3 linked regions of the Saccharomyces cerevisiae S288C genome follow. The protein of the gene in region 3 interacts with the protein of the main gene of each other region in a biochemical or structural test. Each region holds a gene or a part of one and is shown on either strand. Other genes may lie near its edges.

What was found. Proteins that work in one complex are often made in the same cells at the same time.
Region 1: the proteins of SPT15 (region 3) and GAL4 form a complex in vitro, tested with the Saccharomyces cerevisiae proteins (5 studies listed by BioGRID).
Region 2: the proteins of SPT15 (region 3) and BRF1 form a complex in vitro, tested with the Saccharomyces cerevisiae proteins (6 studies listed by BioGRID, with this or other methods).

Annotation. Positions count from the first base shown.
Region 1 is NC_001148.4:78,165-85,141, reverse strand, and holds GAL4 (galactose-responsive transcription factor GAL4), read left to right. Parts: upstream 1-2,785; coding exon 2,786-5,431; downstream 5,432-6,977. Other genes in the region: putative rhomboid protease RBD2, read left to right, coding at 1-633; YPL247C (uncharacterized protein), read left to right, coding at 946-2,517; GTPase-activating protein GYP5, read left to right, coding at 5,789-6,977. UniProt on the Saccharomyces cerevisiae protein: This protein is a positive regulator for the gene expression of the galactose-induced genes such as GAL1, GAL2, GAL7, GAL10, and MEL1 which code for the enzymes used to convert galactose to glucose.
Region 2 is NC_001139.9:980,936-986,751, reverse strand, and holds BRF1 (transcription factor TFIIIB subunit BRF1), read left to right. Parts: upstream 1-2,479; coding exon 2,480-4,270; downstream 4,271-5,816. Other genes in the region: 6-phosphogluconolactonase SOL4, read right to left, coding at 13-780; CPD1 (2',3'-cyclic-nucleotide 3'-phosphodiesterase), read right to left, coding at 1,067-1,786; SDA1 (Sda1p), read left to right, coding at 4,684-5,816. UniProt on the Saccharomyces cerevisiae protein: General activator of RNA polymerase III transcription. Interacts with TBP. Binds to Pol III subunit C34 and to the TAU135 component of TFIIIC.
Region 3 is NC_001137.3:463,721-468,824, forward strand, and holds SPT15 (TATA-binding protein), read left to right. Parts: upstream 1-1,582; coding exon 1,583-2,305; downstream 2,306-5,104. Other genes in the region: cohesin-loading factor complex subunit SCC4, read right to left, coding at 1-1,122; PEA2 (Pea2p), read right to left, coding at 2,488-3,750; SPI1 (Spi1p), read left to right, coding at 4,650-5,096. UniProt on the Saccharomyces cerevisiae protein: General transcription factor that functions at the core of the DNA-binding general transcription factor complex TFIID. Binding of TFIID to a promoter (with or without TATA element) is the initial step in preinitiation complex (PIC) formation.

The DNA.
Region 1 (6,977 bases), on a different chromosome or scaffold from region 3:
ATGAGCAGGCTATCGCTTTATCCTTTAATTCACCTATCATTGCCTCATTTACTGTTCAATGTGCTAGCCATCTGGGCACCCTTGAATCTCTTCGAAGAAACGCATGGGACTGTGTACACAGGTGTTTTTTTGAACCTGAGTGCTCTATTTGCCGGAATTCTGTACTGTTTGTTGGGTAAGTTGCTATATCCAGAAGCATTAGTTGCAGGCGCCAGTGGGTGGTGTTTCACCTTATTCGCATACTATAGTTTTAAAGAATCACAGATCCGCCCTAGAACAAGGATCTTTCGCACAGACTACTCAATTCCGACATTATATACACCCCTAGTACTATTAGTCGCAATTGCCGTCGTTATACCTGGCTCCAGTTTCTGGGGTCATTTTTTCGGCTTATGTGTCGGTTACGCCATAGGCTACAAGGAATCGTGGTTTAACAAGATCACTCCACCAGGATGGATCATCACCAAAATCGAAAAAAGTTTAGACGGTTTAATTCGATTAATACCTTGGGGAATTAAGTATTACAGAGATGAGGATATCGACAGAACTAAAGATTACGAACCGTTAATGTCCACAGAAACACCATTGCCTCTCCACAATGACAACTCCGGCACTGTCCTAGGGACTGCCTAGACATTTGTATCGCTATTCTTTCTTTCACAGTTTAAGGATGTATATAAATGTAGTATATATCATTTTATATTCTAATATGCAAGAATTTTCAGTCTCTTCTTTTTCCTTAGCGTGCGTTTATGAAAAAAAATGGAATATGAATAATTACTGGGAGGAAGACCAGGGGCAAGGGGTGAACCATCTTGTCATCTGAAATCTTGTATAAATAATTTAGTAATCAGTTCTTTAGGTTTTCGAGAGTGGCATACAACCTAAAGGGTCAACAGACAACAAGAAGGAAAGGAATTATAGGAGCAAATACACGCCCTTCAAATGGATCCCTTTCACAATGGCAATAAAAGGAGCTCAATATCGTTTGGCTCATCGCAGCGGCAGCCATATAACAAGAACAATTACTTGAGTGGTACTAATGGGCCTTCCTCGGCGGCACAAGATCAAGGTAGAGGCCCATCTCCCTTTGGAATGTCTGGCAACACTACCAATGGCGGTAACAGCAAAAGGAATAGTGGCTGTGACCTAAGTGCCACGTACTATGCAAGTCGATCGCCGATGTATTCACCGTTAGATTTCTCGCCACCAGTTTTTTCACCAAATCATTCTCAGTTACAGCAGGCGAGGGGCTATGCTGCAAATATTCCGGTTGTAAGCAATCTGATGAACCCTTCCATGGCCTCCGTGTGCGAATATCAATCACACTATCCACTCTTTGGGCTCGATTGGAGCGCCGACGACTACGTCTGCTTGGGTTCGTACAAAGAGGACAGCAGAAATAAGTTGCAGGTTCTGCACTCTAATGATCTACTGAGCTGGGAAAGCGTAGTGGACGCAGATGTGGTTTATCCTGTGAGCAAAATCCAATGGGTCCCCTCTCAATTGTATCCAAGGAAACTCGCGACGTGTTCTGACTCCTTACGGATTTGGAGCGTTAGCCCTGAGGAAAGACAGTTCCAAGAACAAATAAATCTATCTCTGTGTAAATACAATAGACAGCACCCCGCCAATCCCGCGGCCGCAGATGACATGAAGGTCATAGGCACTTTCCCACCAATAACATCATTTGACTGGAACACGGTCGATACTAACTTGATAATCTCAAGTTCCATCGACACCACATGCATTGTATGGGATCTGCAAAGCAGTCACTACGTTAAGACCCAATTGATCGCTCACGACAGCGAAGTTTTTGATGTAAGGTTTTTGACAAAATCGACCCAATTATTTGCTAGTTGTGGTGGGGACGGTAGTGTACGAGTATTTGATTTAAGATCGCTTGCGCACAGTACAATTATTTACGAGCCTCCCTCTTCCTCAGTGTCTGGAGCCACTGCGGGTACTATAACACCGTCGTCGAAAGGTTCGGACGCCTTATTGAGGCTGGAGCCATCACCGTATGACCCAAATGTGTTGGCCACTTTTGCAGCTGACTCGAACAAAATCATTATTCTAGATATGAGGAACCCAGAATCCCCTATACTAAACTTACAAGGCCACGGTTCTTCGGTAAACGGGATTAAATGGCATCCCACAAAGCGCAATGTTTTGCTCTCGTGCGGAGATGACTGCCAGGTGCTCTATTGGGACTTGAACAGCTCCTTTATGGAAATTAACGCTGCAGGTAGCAAATCCCCCAGTATTCATGGAACTTCCTTGGAGGACCCTGACGGCGACACAGAGATGACAGACGGTGGCGCAGGATCCGGTTTAAACGAGGATCCCTTAAGTTTAAACAACAACAGCAAGCAGGTGTGCAAGACACTAGAGACTCCTAACATGATGTATGCCAATAAAACACAAGAGATAAACAACATTGCATGGAGGCCCCAGAGGGGCGATTGGTTTGGGTGCGTGAGCGGCAAGAAGTTTCAAAACGTCCGCGTCCTTTGAGACAGCATTCGCCCAGTATTTTTTTTATTCTACAAACCTTCTATAATTTCAAAGTATTTACATAATTCTGTATCAGTTTAATCACCATAATATCGTTTTCTTTGTTTAGTGCAATTAATTTTTCCTATTGTTACTTCGGGCCTTTTTCTGTTTTATGAGCTATTTTTTCCGTCATCCTTCCCCAGATTTTCAGCTTCATCTCCAGATTGTGTCTACGTAATGCACGCCATCATTTTAAGAGAGGACAGAGAAGCAAGCCTCCTGAAAGATGAAGCTACTGTCTTCTATCGAACAAGCATGCGATATTTGCCGACTTAAAAAGCTCAAGTGCTCCAAAGAAAAACCGAAGTGCGCCAAGTGTCTGAAGAACAACTGGGAGTGTCGCTACTCTCCCAAAACCAAAAGGTCTCCGCTGACTAGGGCACATCTGACAGAAGTGGAATCAAGGCTAGAAAGACTGGAACAGCTATTTCTACTGATTTTTCCTCGAGAAGACCTTGACATGATTTTGAAAATGGATTCTTTACAGGATATAAAAGCATTGTTAACAGGATTATTTGTACAAGATAATGTGAATAAAGATGCCGTCACAGATAGATTGGCTTCAGTGGAGACTGATATGCCTCTAACATTGAGACAGCATAGAATAAGTGCGACATCATCATCGGAAGAGAGTAGTAACAAAGGTCAAAGACAGTTGACTGTATCGATTGACTCGGCAGCTCATCATGATAACTCCACAATTCCGTTGGATTTTATGCCCAGGGATGCTCTTCATGGATTTGATTGGTCTGAAGAGGATGACATGTCGGATGGCTTGCCCTTCCTGAAAACGGACCCCAACAATAATGGGTTCTTTGGCGACGGTTCTCTCTTATGTATTCTTCGATCTATTGGCTTTAAACCGGAAAATTACACGAACTCTAACGTTAACAGGCTCCCGACCATGATTACGGATAGATACACGTTGGCTTCTAGATCCACAACATCCCGTTTACTTCAAAGTTATCTCAATAATTTTCACCCCTACTGCCCTATCGTGCACTCACCGACGCTAATGATGTTGTATAATAACCAGATTGAAATCGCGTCGAAGGATCAATGGCAAATCCTTTTTAACTGCATATTAGCCATTGGAGCCTGGTGTATAGAGGGGGAATCTACTGATATAGATGTTTTTTACTATCAAAATGCTAAATCTCATTTGACGAGCAAGGTCTTCGAGTCAGGTTCCATAATTTTGGTGACAGCCCTACATCTTCTGTCGCGATATACACAGTGGAGGCAGAAAACAAATACTAGCTATAATTTTCACAGCTTTTCCATAAGAATGGCCATATCATTGGGCTTGAATAGGGACCTCCCCTCGTCCTTCAGTGATAGCAGCATTCTGGAACAAAGACGCCGAATTTGGTGGTCTGTCTACTCTTGGGAGATCCAATTGTCCCTGCTTTATGGTCGATCCATCCAGCTTTCTCAGAATACAATCTCCTTCCCTTCTTCTGTCGACGATGTGCAGCGTACCACAACAGGTCCCACCATATATCATGGCATCATTGAAACAGCAAGGCTCTTACAAGTTTTCACAAAAATCTATGAACTAGACAAAACAGTAACTGCAGAAAAAAGTCCTATATGTGCAAAAAAATGCTTGATGATTTGTAATGAGATTGAGGAGGTTTCGAGACAGGCACCAAAGTTTTTACAAATGGATATTTCCACCACCGCTCTAACCAATTTGTTGAAGGAACACCCTTGGCTATCCTTTACAAGATTCGAACTGAAGTGGAAACAGTTGTCTCTTATCATTTATGTATTAAGAGATTTTTTCACTAATTTTACCCAGAAAAAGTCACAACTAGAACAGGATCAAAATGATCATCAAAGTTATGAAGTTAAACGATGCTCCATCATGTTAAGCGATGCAGCACAAAGAACTGTTATGTCTGTAAGTAGCTATATGGACAATCATAATGTCACCCCATATTTTGCCTGGAATTGTTCTTATTACTTGTTCAATGCAGTCCTAGTACCCATAAAGACTCTACTCTCAAACTCAAAATCGAATGCTGAGAATAACGAGACCGCACAATTATTACAACAAATTAACACTGTTCTGATGCTATTAAAAAAACTGGCCACTTTTAAAATCCAGACTTGTGAAAAATACATTCAAGTACTGGAAGAGGTATGTGCGCCGTTTCTGTTATCACAGTGTGCAATCCCATTACCGCATATCAGTTATAACAATAGTAATGGTAGCGCCATTAAAAATATTGTCGGTTCTGCAACTATCGCCCAATACCCTACTCTTCCGGAGGAAAATGTCAACAATATCAGTGTTAAATATGTTTCTCCTGGCTCAGTAGGGCCTTCACCTGTGCCATTGAAATCAGGAGCAAGTTTCAGTGATCTAGTCAAGCTGTTATCTAACCGTCCACCCTCTCGTAACTCTCCAGTGACAATACCAAGAAGCACACCTTCGCATCGCTCAGTCACGCCTTTTCTAGGGCAACAGCAACAGCTGCAATCATTAGTGCCACTGACCCCGTCTGCTTTGTTTGGTGGCGCCAATTTTAATCAAAGTGGGAATATTGCTGATAGCTCATTGTCCTTCACTTTCACTAACAGTAGCAACGGTCCGAACCTCATAACAACTCAAACAAATTCTCAAGCGCTTTCACAACCAATTGCCTCCTCTAACGTTCATGATAACTTCATGAATAATGAAATCACGGCTAGTAAAATTGATGATGGTAATAATTCAAAACCACTGTCACCTGGTTGGACGGACCAAACTGCGTATAACGCGTTTGGAATCACTACAGGGATGTTTAATACCACTACAATGGATGATGTATATAACTATCTATTCGATGATGAAGATACCCCACCAAACCCAAAAAAAGAGTAAAATGAATCGTAGATACTGAAAAACCCCGCAAGTTCACTTCAACTGTGCATCGTGCACCATCTCAATTTCTTTCATTTATACATCGTTTTGCCTTCTTTTATGTAACTATACTCCTCTAAGTTTCAATCTTGGCCATGTAACCTCTGATCTATAGAATTTTTTAAATGACTAGAATTAATGCCCATCTTTTTTTTGGACCTAAATTCTTCATGAAAATATATTACGAGGGCTTATTCAGAAGCTTCGCTCATATAACGAAAAAAAAGGGTTTGGATCGAACGTAATTGAGATTGATTAGTTAATACTCAAAATAAAACAGCTCCTACCACCAGTGTAAAGTAGAACGTTAATAGAGCAATGTCTTCAGACAAATCTATTGAGAAAAATACAGATACGATCGCCTCTGAAGTTCACGAAGGTGATAATCATTCGAATAATTTGGGTTCAATGGAGGAAGAGATAAAATCAACGCCATCAGACCAATATGAAGAGATAGCTATAATTCCAACTGAGCCCCTCCATTCGGACAAAGAACTAAATGACAAGCAACAAAGTTTAGGCCATGAAGCACCCACAAATGTATCAAGAGAAGAACCTATTGGGATCTCTGGTGATGAAGACACCCAAATCACTGAACAAAACGTTAATGAACAAAGGCAAGAAACGAGAGAACCTAGTTCTGAAATTGATTTAAATGAGCCATTGGATGTTGAAAAAGATGTGACAACGGATGTGCAAGCCCCAAATGGGCTGAATATTGAAAAAGAATATGATGCAGTCAAAGAGAATGAGAAGGTTTACGCTGATACGAAAGAGGTTGTTAGTAGTCCAGAAAATAGGGAAGTAACTGGAAAAAATTCTGGAGGTGAGAAATCATCCTCGAGTAAATTTCTCGATGACGAATCTGGTACTACGACAGCTGCAAATGCGAACGACATTTCTATAAGTAGTGAAGTAACCCCAGAAAGGTCGTCAGAAAATGATAATAACCAGATTCATATTACCAATGAGGTAGCCGCAGGAATAAACTTGAATGAAAACAAGGAACAAAAAGCTGCTATAGAAGATGGGCCCGTAACAGCAGAGAATCTTTCCTCAGAAACTGCTAGGAAAGTACCACCTATACCCACACAAATCATAAATGAAAAAGGTGATAACTCAAGCGAGAACGAGGTTTCCGCAATTCCCACTACATCTTCGCCACCATTACCACCTAGACAAAATGTTGCGACATCAACGTCACCAAAATTACCTCCAAGGGGCAAACAAAGGGAACAACCACCGAAGACGAAGAATGCTGTTCCACCGCCACTAGAGGAAGAAATGAAGTCAGAGAAGTTCCGTAAAAACTTCGAAGAAACTAAAAGAAATAGTTATCATCATGTTCCTCTCACTGGTTCCAAAACTGCGCAATTAGAGTCCACTGCAGAAATTAATTTGATCGCTAGTCGTTACCGCAAGACCAGTCACCATTTGAATAAAGAGGGGGAAGAAACTAGAGAGTCGTTGCAGGAAGGTCAAAGCTTTTTAAAATCGACATTTACGT
Region 2 (5,816 bases), on a different chromosome or scaffold from region 3:
AGACGAGTGTAATTAGCAGTTTTCAGGAATCAAGGCGCCAGCTTCGTCGTCGAGAAACCAAGTTACTTTGGTTCCGACCATTTCATTAACCAGCACACTAGGTAGTTCGCTATTTTTTACGATTAACACGTCATGCATGATAGCCTTTTTAGCAGCTCCCCTAACGAGAAAGCACACACTTTTAGCCTCGGCTACTACTGCTAATGTAAAGGTGATCCTGTCCTTGGGTGCCTTGGGCGAATTATTACACCATAAAACCTTGCGGTCCATCTCTTCTACAAGGTAATTAAATTCAACCCCGGGAAACAACGAGCATGTATGTCCATCTTCTCCGCATCCGAGTAAGATTAGGTCGAATGATGCAGGCAGCATGGAAGCGTATTCTTCGGCAATCTTTCTATTGGCCGTTTCACCGCCACCGATTAATGATTCGTTGATAGTGTATACAGTGGGGCCTAAGTTCAATTGGTTGCCCTGATGCACTAGCGGGTCCAAAACTGTTTTTTTGAACTGACCATAGTTACTTTGCGGATCCTCAAATGGAACCAATCTTTCGTCACAGAAGAAGATTCTCCATTGTGGCCACTTAATATGTGGAAAAATGTTTTTGTCATTTACCAAACTTTCGTACAGCGCTTGGTTCATCGATCCTCCACTGATGGCGATATTGAACACTGCATCAGCGTCGCCCGTTAACGCCGATTCTTGCTTTTCAAGGATAAACTTGCCGAATTCGTGTATGAGGCTTTTCTTTTCGCTAAACCTTTGTAATTTCACCATTTTTCTTGAGGTGGTTGTGGATTATTTGATGAATGGCATTCTTTGTTTGGAAAACTGCTGCGATAAGACTACGTTCTTCGTCATTTCTTAAATATTATGGATCTTACAATTTTCGCTGCTTAGGGGGGGATTTTTTTAATTTTCAAGGGATTTCCATCCCTTGCGAAGGCAAGCGATCAGTATACGTAAATCTCTAACTAGAACATTTTCAAGTATTGACAGATATGAAAAAAAAAAAAAAAAAAAAAATTCTATATAATTACTTACAGTGCACATAAATGTATGCTTAAACGTCCACCCGTCCCAATACCTCCCATTCTTGAACGGGCCCCACACAGTTGACCACTTTAAACGTTCCTGGGATATTCCAAGATAGCGATGAAGATACGTCAAAATCCCATCTCATTTGCACTTCATTGGACCCATCAGCGTTTCCGGAACCCTTACGTTTCTCTCTTGGAACTAGTTGCACGTCTAGAGCATCTTCAATTCTTTGTTGAACTACTCGCAATGACGCCTGACTTACCGGATGAATATCCGAATAAAGCAATGAGACGTGAGGATGGAATTCCTCGTGCACCCAAGTGGCGGCACGGCTACTTCGCGTCTCAGGATCGATCTCTACGTACATCTCTCTCATGACTTGTGCGACCCCATAAAGTATTTTGTTCTTGTTACACTCGAGCACAATTTTCTTGAAATATTGTTTACCTACACTGCATCCATTGAAAGATACCAAAGGAGCTGCAACAGCATGGGATACCTGTCCCTTACGTCCTTTCTTTGCTGTTTGGTGTGACCTTATCGATTGGATGGCAGCAACACAGGAGGTCAAGATTTTGTTGACATCATCTTTACTATTGCACACCAAATGGGACGTTACCGTCACATGAGGTTCAAAAACTGGTGAATCTGGGAACAACGTTTGAAACGAAAATATAAGCATCTGTAATGTCTCGTAAGCAACTGATCCTTGTGGTGGACAATACCATAATGCTATTGCCATTTTTCTGTGGTTACTGATATTAGCAAATTGAAGTATCGCGAATTCCCAAACTAGAATAATTACAATTGATGGTAAAATAAAATGATAAAATAATCTGATTAGATTCTTGGTATCTCAAAAGTGACTTTGATAACTTCTTGATTGTTTGTGCCCCTGCTTACGAATTGGGTTCTTATTAAACTTCACCTGCATCGCTTCTCCATCGGATCTAACCTAAAAAAAATAAAAACCCCCCGGTAAGCACTTGATCACGCCTACAAAATCACTTAGTGAACAAAGGAAAATAGATTGTTTTTAAAGTTGTGAAGTAGTGAACTATGGCTTCCCACATACACATATATACTGATACAGATGCAATATAACATTTAGTGTTAGAAAAATTTGCTTCTATCTTGATGACATTGAATACTCTTGGACGTAAAAAAAGACATCCGATTAAAGTGGAGGTAATCTACAAGAAAAGTTGTTCTTCCCCTCATTAGAAATCTTGCAATGGTCACGGCCGTCGCTATCAAAAATCAACGAAGTGAAGTGACTCTAATTTTTGTCTATTAATGTTGCGATGGCCTTATTTGCTATTCTAAGGTTTTCGCGAAGTATCAGGTATGATAAAAAAAATCATATTTTTGATCGCATCAAGAACAATCCCAATGGTAAAAACGGTAATAAAAAAGAGTCCATAGTCATATACCAATGCCAGTGTGTAAGAACTGTCACGGAACCGAATTTGAGAGAGATCTTTCCAATGCTAACAACGATTTAGTTTGTAAAGCTTGTGGTGTTGTCTCAGAAGATAATCCTATCGTCTCTGAAGTTACATTCGGTGAAACAAGTGCAGGTGCTGCTGTAGTACAAGGTTCTTTTATCGGTGCAGGACAAAGTCATGCTGCATTTGGTGGTTCTAGTGCTCTAGAATCTAGAGAAGCCACATTGAACAATGCAAGAAGGAAATTACGCGCCGTTTCTTACGCATTACATATCCCGGAATATATCACAGATGCTGCTTTCCAATGGTATAAGCTTGCATTGGCTAATAACTTTGTACAAGGTCGTAGGTCCCAAAATGTTATCGCTTCATGTCTTTACGTTGCATGTAGAAAGGAAAAGACGCATCATATGCTGATCGACTTCTCTTCAAGGTTACAGGTGAGTGTGTATTCCATAGGAGCCACATTTTTGAAAATGGTAAAGAAATTACATATCACAGAATTGCCGTTAGCGGATCCTTCCTTATTCATTCAACATTTTGCCGAAAAATTGGATCTTGCTGACAAGAAGATCAAAGTGGTAAAAGATGCCGTAAAATTGGCTCAAAGAATGTCCAAGGACTGGATGTTTGAAGGACGTAGACCTGCAGGTATTGCCGGCGCATGTATTCTACTAGCTTGCAGGATGAATAATTTGAGAAGAACTCATACAGAGATCGTCGCAGTTTCACATGTCGCCGAGGAAACTTTACAGCAACGGTTGAACGAATTCAAAAATACAAAGGCTGCTAAACTTTCAGTTCAAAAATTTAGAGAAAATGATGTGGAAGACGGTGAGGCTAGGCCTCCCTCCTTTGTGAAGAACAGAAAGAAAGAAAGAAAAATAAAGGACTCTTTAGACAAAGAAGAGATGTTTCAAACAAGTGAAGAAGCATTGAATAAAAATCCAATTTTGACGCAAGTATTAGGAGAACAAGAACTGTCTTCCAAGGAAGTCCTGTTTTACTTAAAACAATTTTCAGAAAGAAGGGCCCGTGTTGTGGAGAGGATTAAGGCTACTAATGGTATAGATGGTGAAAATATATACCATGAAGGTTCTGAAAACGAAACAAGGAAACGCAAACTTTCTGAAGTTTCTATCCAGAACGAGCATGTTGAAGGGGAAGACAAAGAGACGGAAGGGACTGAGGAAAAAGTCAAGAAGGTAAAGACAAAAACATCAGAAGAAAAGAAAGAGAACGAATCTGGGCATTTTCAAGATGCCATTGATGGTTACTCTCTAGAAACAGACCCATATTGTCCTCGCAATTTACACTTGTTACCCACAACGGACACATACCTTTCGAAAGTTAGTGACGACCCAGATAATTTAGAAGATGTTGATGATGAGGAGTTAAACGCGCACCTATTAAACGAGGAAGCTTCTAAATTGAAGGAAAGAATTTGGATTGGTCTGAACGCAGATTTCTTACTTGAACAAGAGAGTAAACGTTTGAAACAGGAGGCAGATATTGCCACAGGTAACACATCAGTGAAAAAAAAACGTACGAGACGTAGGAATAATACTAGAAGTGACGAACCTACAAAAACTGTGGATGCAGCAGCAGCTATCGGATTGATGTCAGACTTACAAGATAAGTCTGGTTTACACGCTGCATTGAAGGCAGCTGAGGAAAGTGGTGATTTCACAACTGCTGATAGTGTCAAGAACATGTTGCAGAAGGCAAGTTTCTCCAAGAAGATTAATTACGACGCCATTGACGGTTTGTTTAGGTAACGTTTAGGTAATCAACCCTAGGAAGGAAAAAGGGAACGGAAATAAAGACGCAATACATTTGGTTTTGGCTAAAATATATAGAACATGAAGTGCAAAAGAATTAAAGGTGCATTAACTATTTAATATGTATGTGATTATATAAATCTAAAATCTCAATGTCGTAACAATCACTGTTCCATTAAAAAAACGGGTAAGGTGGAAATTTCAGTTTTTTTTTTTTTTCTTTTCTTTTGCTTGATCGGCTAAAAAATGAAAATTTTAAACTCATCTCATCGCAGATAACCATAACACGCTTAACAGATAGAACGTTCTACCACTAAAAAAACATATCAAACGTCACTTTTTTGAATAAGTAATAATAGTTAAGGAGGAAGCACAAGACGCACTGAATATACCAATCAAGGGCATCAACAATGGGTAGAAGAAGTAGAGCAGCTATGCTCCCAACAAATATCATTCTTTTACAGAATTTGGTAAAGCGTGACCCAGAGTCCTATCAAGAGGAGTTTCTTCAACAATATGCACATTATGAATCGCTAAGGGACATTTTTATGTTAAATGGGCTTGCTGGAGGTGATTCTGCAGCTGCCACTAATGGGCTCGATGTAGGAAATGGATCTTCTACAATGGCAGGTACTAACGGTACCACCATGAGCACTTCAACTTCGCAACTTATTGAATTGGTTGGCTTCGTATCTCAAGTCTGCTCATGTTTTCCTCGTGAAACTGCAAACTTCCCGTCTGAATTAAAGCAGCTTTTGCTGGAACACCATAAGTCCTTGCCATTTGAATTGAAAGAAAAAATCTTAAGTTGTTTGACGATGTTAAGGAATAAGGACGTCATTACTGCTGAGGAATTAATTCAAAGCTTATTTCCTTTATTGGTTGCTTACTCTTCCCATGGTAATTCACTCGGCGTTAATTCACACGCCAAGGAATTGAGGAAAATCATTTATACAAATTTAATTTCTTTATTAAAAAGTTGTAATACTAATGGTAAAAATCAAAAATTGAACAAATCTACGCAGGCCGTTTGCTTTAATTTGTTAGATCAACCAGATTCCCAGGGAATCTGGGCCACAAAATTAACCAGAGAACTTTGGAGACGTGGTATTTGGGATGATTCAAGAACAGTAGAAATTATGACCCAAGCAGCATTACATCAGGATGTTAAGATTGTCATGTCTGGTGTGATGTTTTTTTTGGATGCTGACAGAGAACGTGAAGAAAATTTTGAAGAAAATTCCGAGGATGAGGATGGGTTTGATTTAGATGCATTAAGGCATAAGATGCAAGTCAATAAAAAAACGGGTAGACGTGGTAAGAAGCTGGAGAATGCCATAAAAACTGTGAAGAAGAAGAAGAAGAACGGACCGGGTGCTCCTCAAGGGTATTTAAACTTCAGTGCTATCCACCTTTTGAGAGATCCACAAGGATTTGCCGAAAAATTGTTTAAGGAACATCTTTCAGGCAAAACGAAAAACAAATTTGACATGGAACAAAAAATATCTTTGATGCAGCTGTTATCAAGGTTGATTGGTACCCA
Region 3 (5,104 bases):
TTCCCACACTTTGTAAAACTCACAGAATTCAAGAATGCTCTTGTATGTCTGGATTCGTGAGTCCAGCTCATTCATCGAAACACCGCCAGCGGCAATGTTCTTAATCAGTTTCTGCGTTGTAGAATAGACTTTGGGGAGGAACTTCCTGGAAAAATTGCCCTTTTCGTCATAACAGTTCACGATGTAGCTGACACTTTGCAATAATAACAGTATGTTCTTTAATTCTTTGTAGTGGAAAATCATAGGCAACTCTACTTTCAGCGCTATCCTTGGCATGATTTTGATCACACATCCCTTACCTTCATTAGTGACTAGAGATTGCTTGTTTGTGTCAAAGAAATTTTTGAATTCGTTCAAGTGGTCCGTAATATTCCCGTCTTTACAAAGCTGGATTACCATCTCTAATGCCAACTTCCATGCATATAGCTCAGGCCCCACCGTGTGCAGCTCCGTGCTTCGCAGCTCCTGCAGAGCATCCTCGGGGATTGGGAACCTCTCATTTAGCAAGTAATTCACATAACACAGATTTAGAAACCATTTCCATTGTGACTTTTCCCGACATTGCGAGAGTAGCCCATGAAAACTCGTCTTCACCCTGCGGTGCTGTTTCAGCTTAATGCAAAGCATCACGCCGACATACTGGAATACGGATGCCCAATTTTGATACAACTCATCCTGCAAATTTACCATGTACTGGACTAATTCATTGCAATTTCTTAGTGCAATCTTATAGTGGAACTTACTGTCTCTCATAAGTGGCAAGTCATGTAACAGCAGAAACTCGCAACGCATGATCTCTTCTACCAAATCTGTGTCGCTCTGGTGCGTTTGTAACCGTTCTTTCAAACTGGAAATGTAAAGCTCTGCTAGGTCAAAATTATACGTCTCCTGTATCAATAACTCCACCATCTCAAACGTGACCTTACTATCCTCCAGAACTGAAAGCGTACATTTCGTTTTCAATAGCTGAAACATCTGGATAGACATGTTCATGAGGCCATAATACTGCTTCAACCCTTCCTCAGAACCGATTTTATTCGCAATTGAATATGCATGGTCTCTGTATTCCTGTGCTAAGTGGTATACTTGTGAAATACTAAGTTTGTCGCCAAGATTTTCCATGAATTTGTACTTCTTTCGAAATCGTTCAATTTCTACCAATACTGATTCCCCTCTGATAGCTGAGATGTCGGGATTCCCTTTGCTGATAGATCTAACTCATCTCTTTACGTATTTTAATTGTGAAGCCGTAAATAGTTATCTTCCAAGTTTCTCTTACGCGAGCTTTTTGGGAAAAGAAAAAAATTTGAAGATCTACATATAAAACATGGCTTCAAAGGATTACTAATGACTTTTTTTACCTTGATAGGTATTCTTGATGGTAAGAGTAAACAAGGGACGTGAAAATTACAGTAGTTACTGTTTTTTTTGGACTATAAGATCGGGGGAAAGATAACACATAAGAAATAAAACGACTACTAGTTAGACTGCTCTGCGGAAGAAGCAAGGAAGTAAAGGCTGCATTTTATTTTTCTTTTCTAGTCCAACATAAACAGGTGTATCAAGAGAAACTTTTTTAATTATGGCCGATGAGGAACGTTTAAAGGAGTTTAAAGAGGCAAACAAGATAGTGTTTGATCCAAATACCAGACAAGTATGGGAAAACCAGAATCGAGATGGTACAAAACCAGCAACTACTTTCCAGAGTGAAGAGGACATAAAAAGAGCTGCCCCAGAATCTGAAAAAGACACCTCCGCCACATCAGGTATTGTTCCAACACTACAAAACATTGTGGCAACTGTGACTTTGGGGTGCAGGTTAGATCTGAAAACAGTTGCGCTACATGCCCGTAATGCAGAATATAACCCCAAGCGTTTTGCTGCTGTCATCATGCGTATTAGAGAGCCAAAAACTACAGCTTTAATTTTTGCCTCAGGGAAAATGGTTGTTACCGGTGCAAAAAGTGAGGATGACTCAAAGCTGGCCAGTAGAAAATATGCAAGAATTATCCAAAAAATCGGGTTTGCTGCTAAATTCACAGACTTCAAAATACAAAATATTGTCGGTTCGTGTGACGTTAAATTCCCTATACGTCTAGAAGGGTTAGCATTCAGTCATGGTACTTTCTCCTCCTATGAGCCAGAATTGTTTCCTGGTTTGATCTATAGAATGGTGAAGCCGAAAATTGTGTTGTTAATTTTTGTTTCAGGAAAGATTGTTCTTACTGGTGCAAAGCAAAGGGAAGAAATTTACCAAGCTTTTGAAGCTATATACCCTGTGCTAAGTGAATTTAGAAAAATGTGATGGGGAAGGAGTAGACGAAAAGAAAAAAAGGTTTTCTATTTGTTCCATTTTCTCAATTATTAATGGTCCTCAAAGAAATAAAAGAAAAGGAAGAAGAAGTAATTGTAATATCAAACGGTTTTTTATAGTATATTCTTCTTATTCTATATTTATATATCAATGTTTTATAATAAGATGTTTATTCATAGCATATCTGGTGGATCGTCTCTATTAAGCGCCAGCGAGGTGTTTGCCTCTGCATTTTTCAGCAAAGCAAGCTCCCTTTCCAGCTTGAATCTATGTTCACGCTCATCCGACAATTCTTTTTCATACTTTCTTTGTGTACTCGTAAGCACTTTTTTAAACTCACTTGTCATTATTGAAAGTGAACGTGATCCAGAACCGCTTGTGGGGCTTCCTACAGAGGAAGGTGAACTTGGATCCCAAGTCACCGGCGAACTCGCTGGTGATGACATGCCGAAATTATGTCTGCTTGAATTCAGCTTGTTGTTGGCTTTTTCAAGTTCTTTATTTTCCTGCTCCAATTCGTGTAATTTCTTTTCAGTTTTACTCAAATTCGAGTGGTTGTTTAATAACTTATCTTGTAATTCTCTGTTAGTCCGCGTTAGCTTCTCGATATCTTGTACATATTCGGCACGGTCATTCTCGAATTGCTTAGTCAAGAAATTGTGTGCCAGTTGCAAATCACTAAATGCCGTTTCTAGTTCTTCTAATTTTTTAGAGGAGTCTTCCTCTTGAATTGCAGCGGCGTTAGGCGAAATAGGTGGTGATGACGTATTTTTTTCTAGACTGACGCAGGTATCCAAGATAGAATTTATCCCATTTTTCAAGAACTTCACAGGGTCATCTAATGGTATTGGCTTGATATCAATGCCTTTCTGAATGGAGTTTGACATCAAGAAGGACGTTAATTCTTGAAGTATTTCATTTTTATCGTCATCAGCTTTGTCAGTATGGTAAGCACCCTTGTTAAATTTATCTGTGCCACCCATATTAGTGGAAGACCTCGCTCTTTTAGAATTTGGGAAACTGTTGTTGTTTTCCTTCGTAAGCTGGTCTATCCCTGTAGTGTTAATGGATTCAAGGATCCTCAGCATCATTTCATACCAATCCGCAGACTTCGGCTGCAGCTTCAGCAACTCATTGAGTGTGGGATTTAGATCATCAGAGTTCAAGTGCTCTTTTTGAACGTAGTATAGGGCGAACTCAGACACTAGCTTTTTGTCAAGGTCTATTTCTGACTCGTCATTTTTACTTCTATACAGAAGATAGTCAAAATAGTCAATGGAAGTGTATGGTCTACTATTGTGATGCGGATGTGACGGATTTTGGGAGAGAAGGTACTGTTTCAATTCATCGTATTTCAATGGATACTCTTCGTATCGTTCTGCACTAAAAAGCAAAGGGTTCGCTCTTCTCGAGAGCTCTAGATCAAATTTATGCATATGAAACGTGATATCCACCGTTATTCTCCCTCTCGAACACAGGACTTCGATAGTATCTTTTGTAATCTGTTCAGCTCAACTATTTGTTACCATACCATCATCATCACTTTACACATACTCATCATGTGTTTATTGACGCGAGCGCGACTTGCAAGAAAAGGCATAATTGTGGCGAGGTAATGAAAAATTTTTGACGTTTCCCTCATTCATTCATACATAACATTTTGGGATTTTGGAACAAGGCGAGAGGAGAACGTCTTTGGACCACTGTAATAGTACACAATGCAAGATATTTTAAGTTTATGCTAAAAATCCAGAAGTGACGCTTCATCAACGGTGTCAATATGGACCGAATTTTAGTGTATCTTCAATTGTAACCGTGAGGAGTAGACTCTTTGAATACGGGGGAAGAAGAAATATCATATTCAAAGCTAATTCATTGAAATTAGTGCTTGTCTCATCTAGCCTTTAGTGCTTAATCTCTGGAGGAGCACATATGGGGTTAAAGCCATGCCGGGACTGGGGGCCCCTATCGGGGCTCGAACCCGAATCCCGCGAGTATTTATTTGAAGGTCCGGGACGCAAGTTACCTAATCTGGTTAATTGATATCCCATTTAGGCGATGACGTTCCTTCCCCTCACCCCTCGGCTTGTTAGAAGATCTATTGTTATAGCCTCCTCTGGAAGAATTTATGCCAGATGAAGAAAAAAACTTCTCGAAGTTCCCAGATGCCCAAATGAGGGCTTTCCATCCCTGTTAGCTGGAAAAGTGTAAGTATATCTATATAAAAAGTCGGCCTACTTTTGCCAGGTTCGTCTTTCACTTGCACTCTCTTGATCTTACTTTCTACTCAAAAAGAATCCAATACACAAAAATAAAATCAGTACTATTACTAATAATGTTGTCTAACGCTAAGCTCCTTCTATCATTGGCCATGGCCTCTACGGCTCTCGGATTGGTATCTAATTCTAGTTCCTCTGTAATCGTGGTACCATCAAGCGATGCTACTATTGCCGGTAACGATACAGCCACGCCAGCACCAGAGCCATCATCCGCCGCTCCAATATTCTACAACTCGACTGCTACTGCAACACAGTACGAAGTTGTCAGTGAATTCACTACTTACTGCCCAGAACCAACGACTTTCGTAACGAATGGCGCTACATTCACTGTTACTGCCCCAACTACGTTAACAATTACCAACTGTCCTTGCACTATCGAGAAGCCTACTTCAGAAACATCGGTTTCTTCTACACATGATGTGGAGACAAATTCTAATGCTGCTAACGCAAGAGCAATCCCAGGAGCCCTAGGTTTGGCTGGTGCAGTTATGATGCTTTTATGATCGAATAG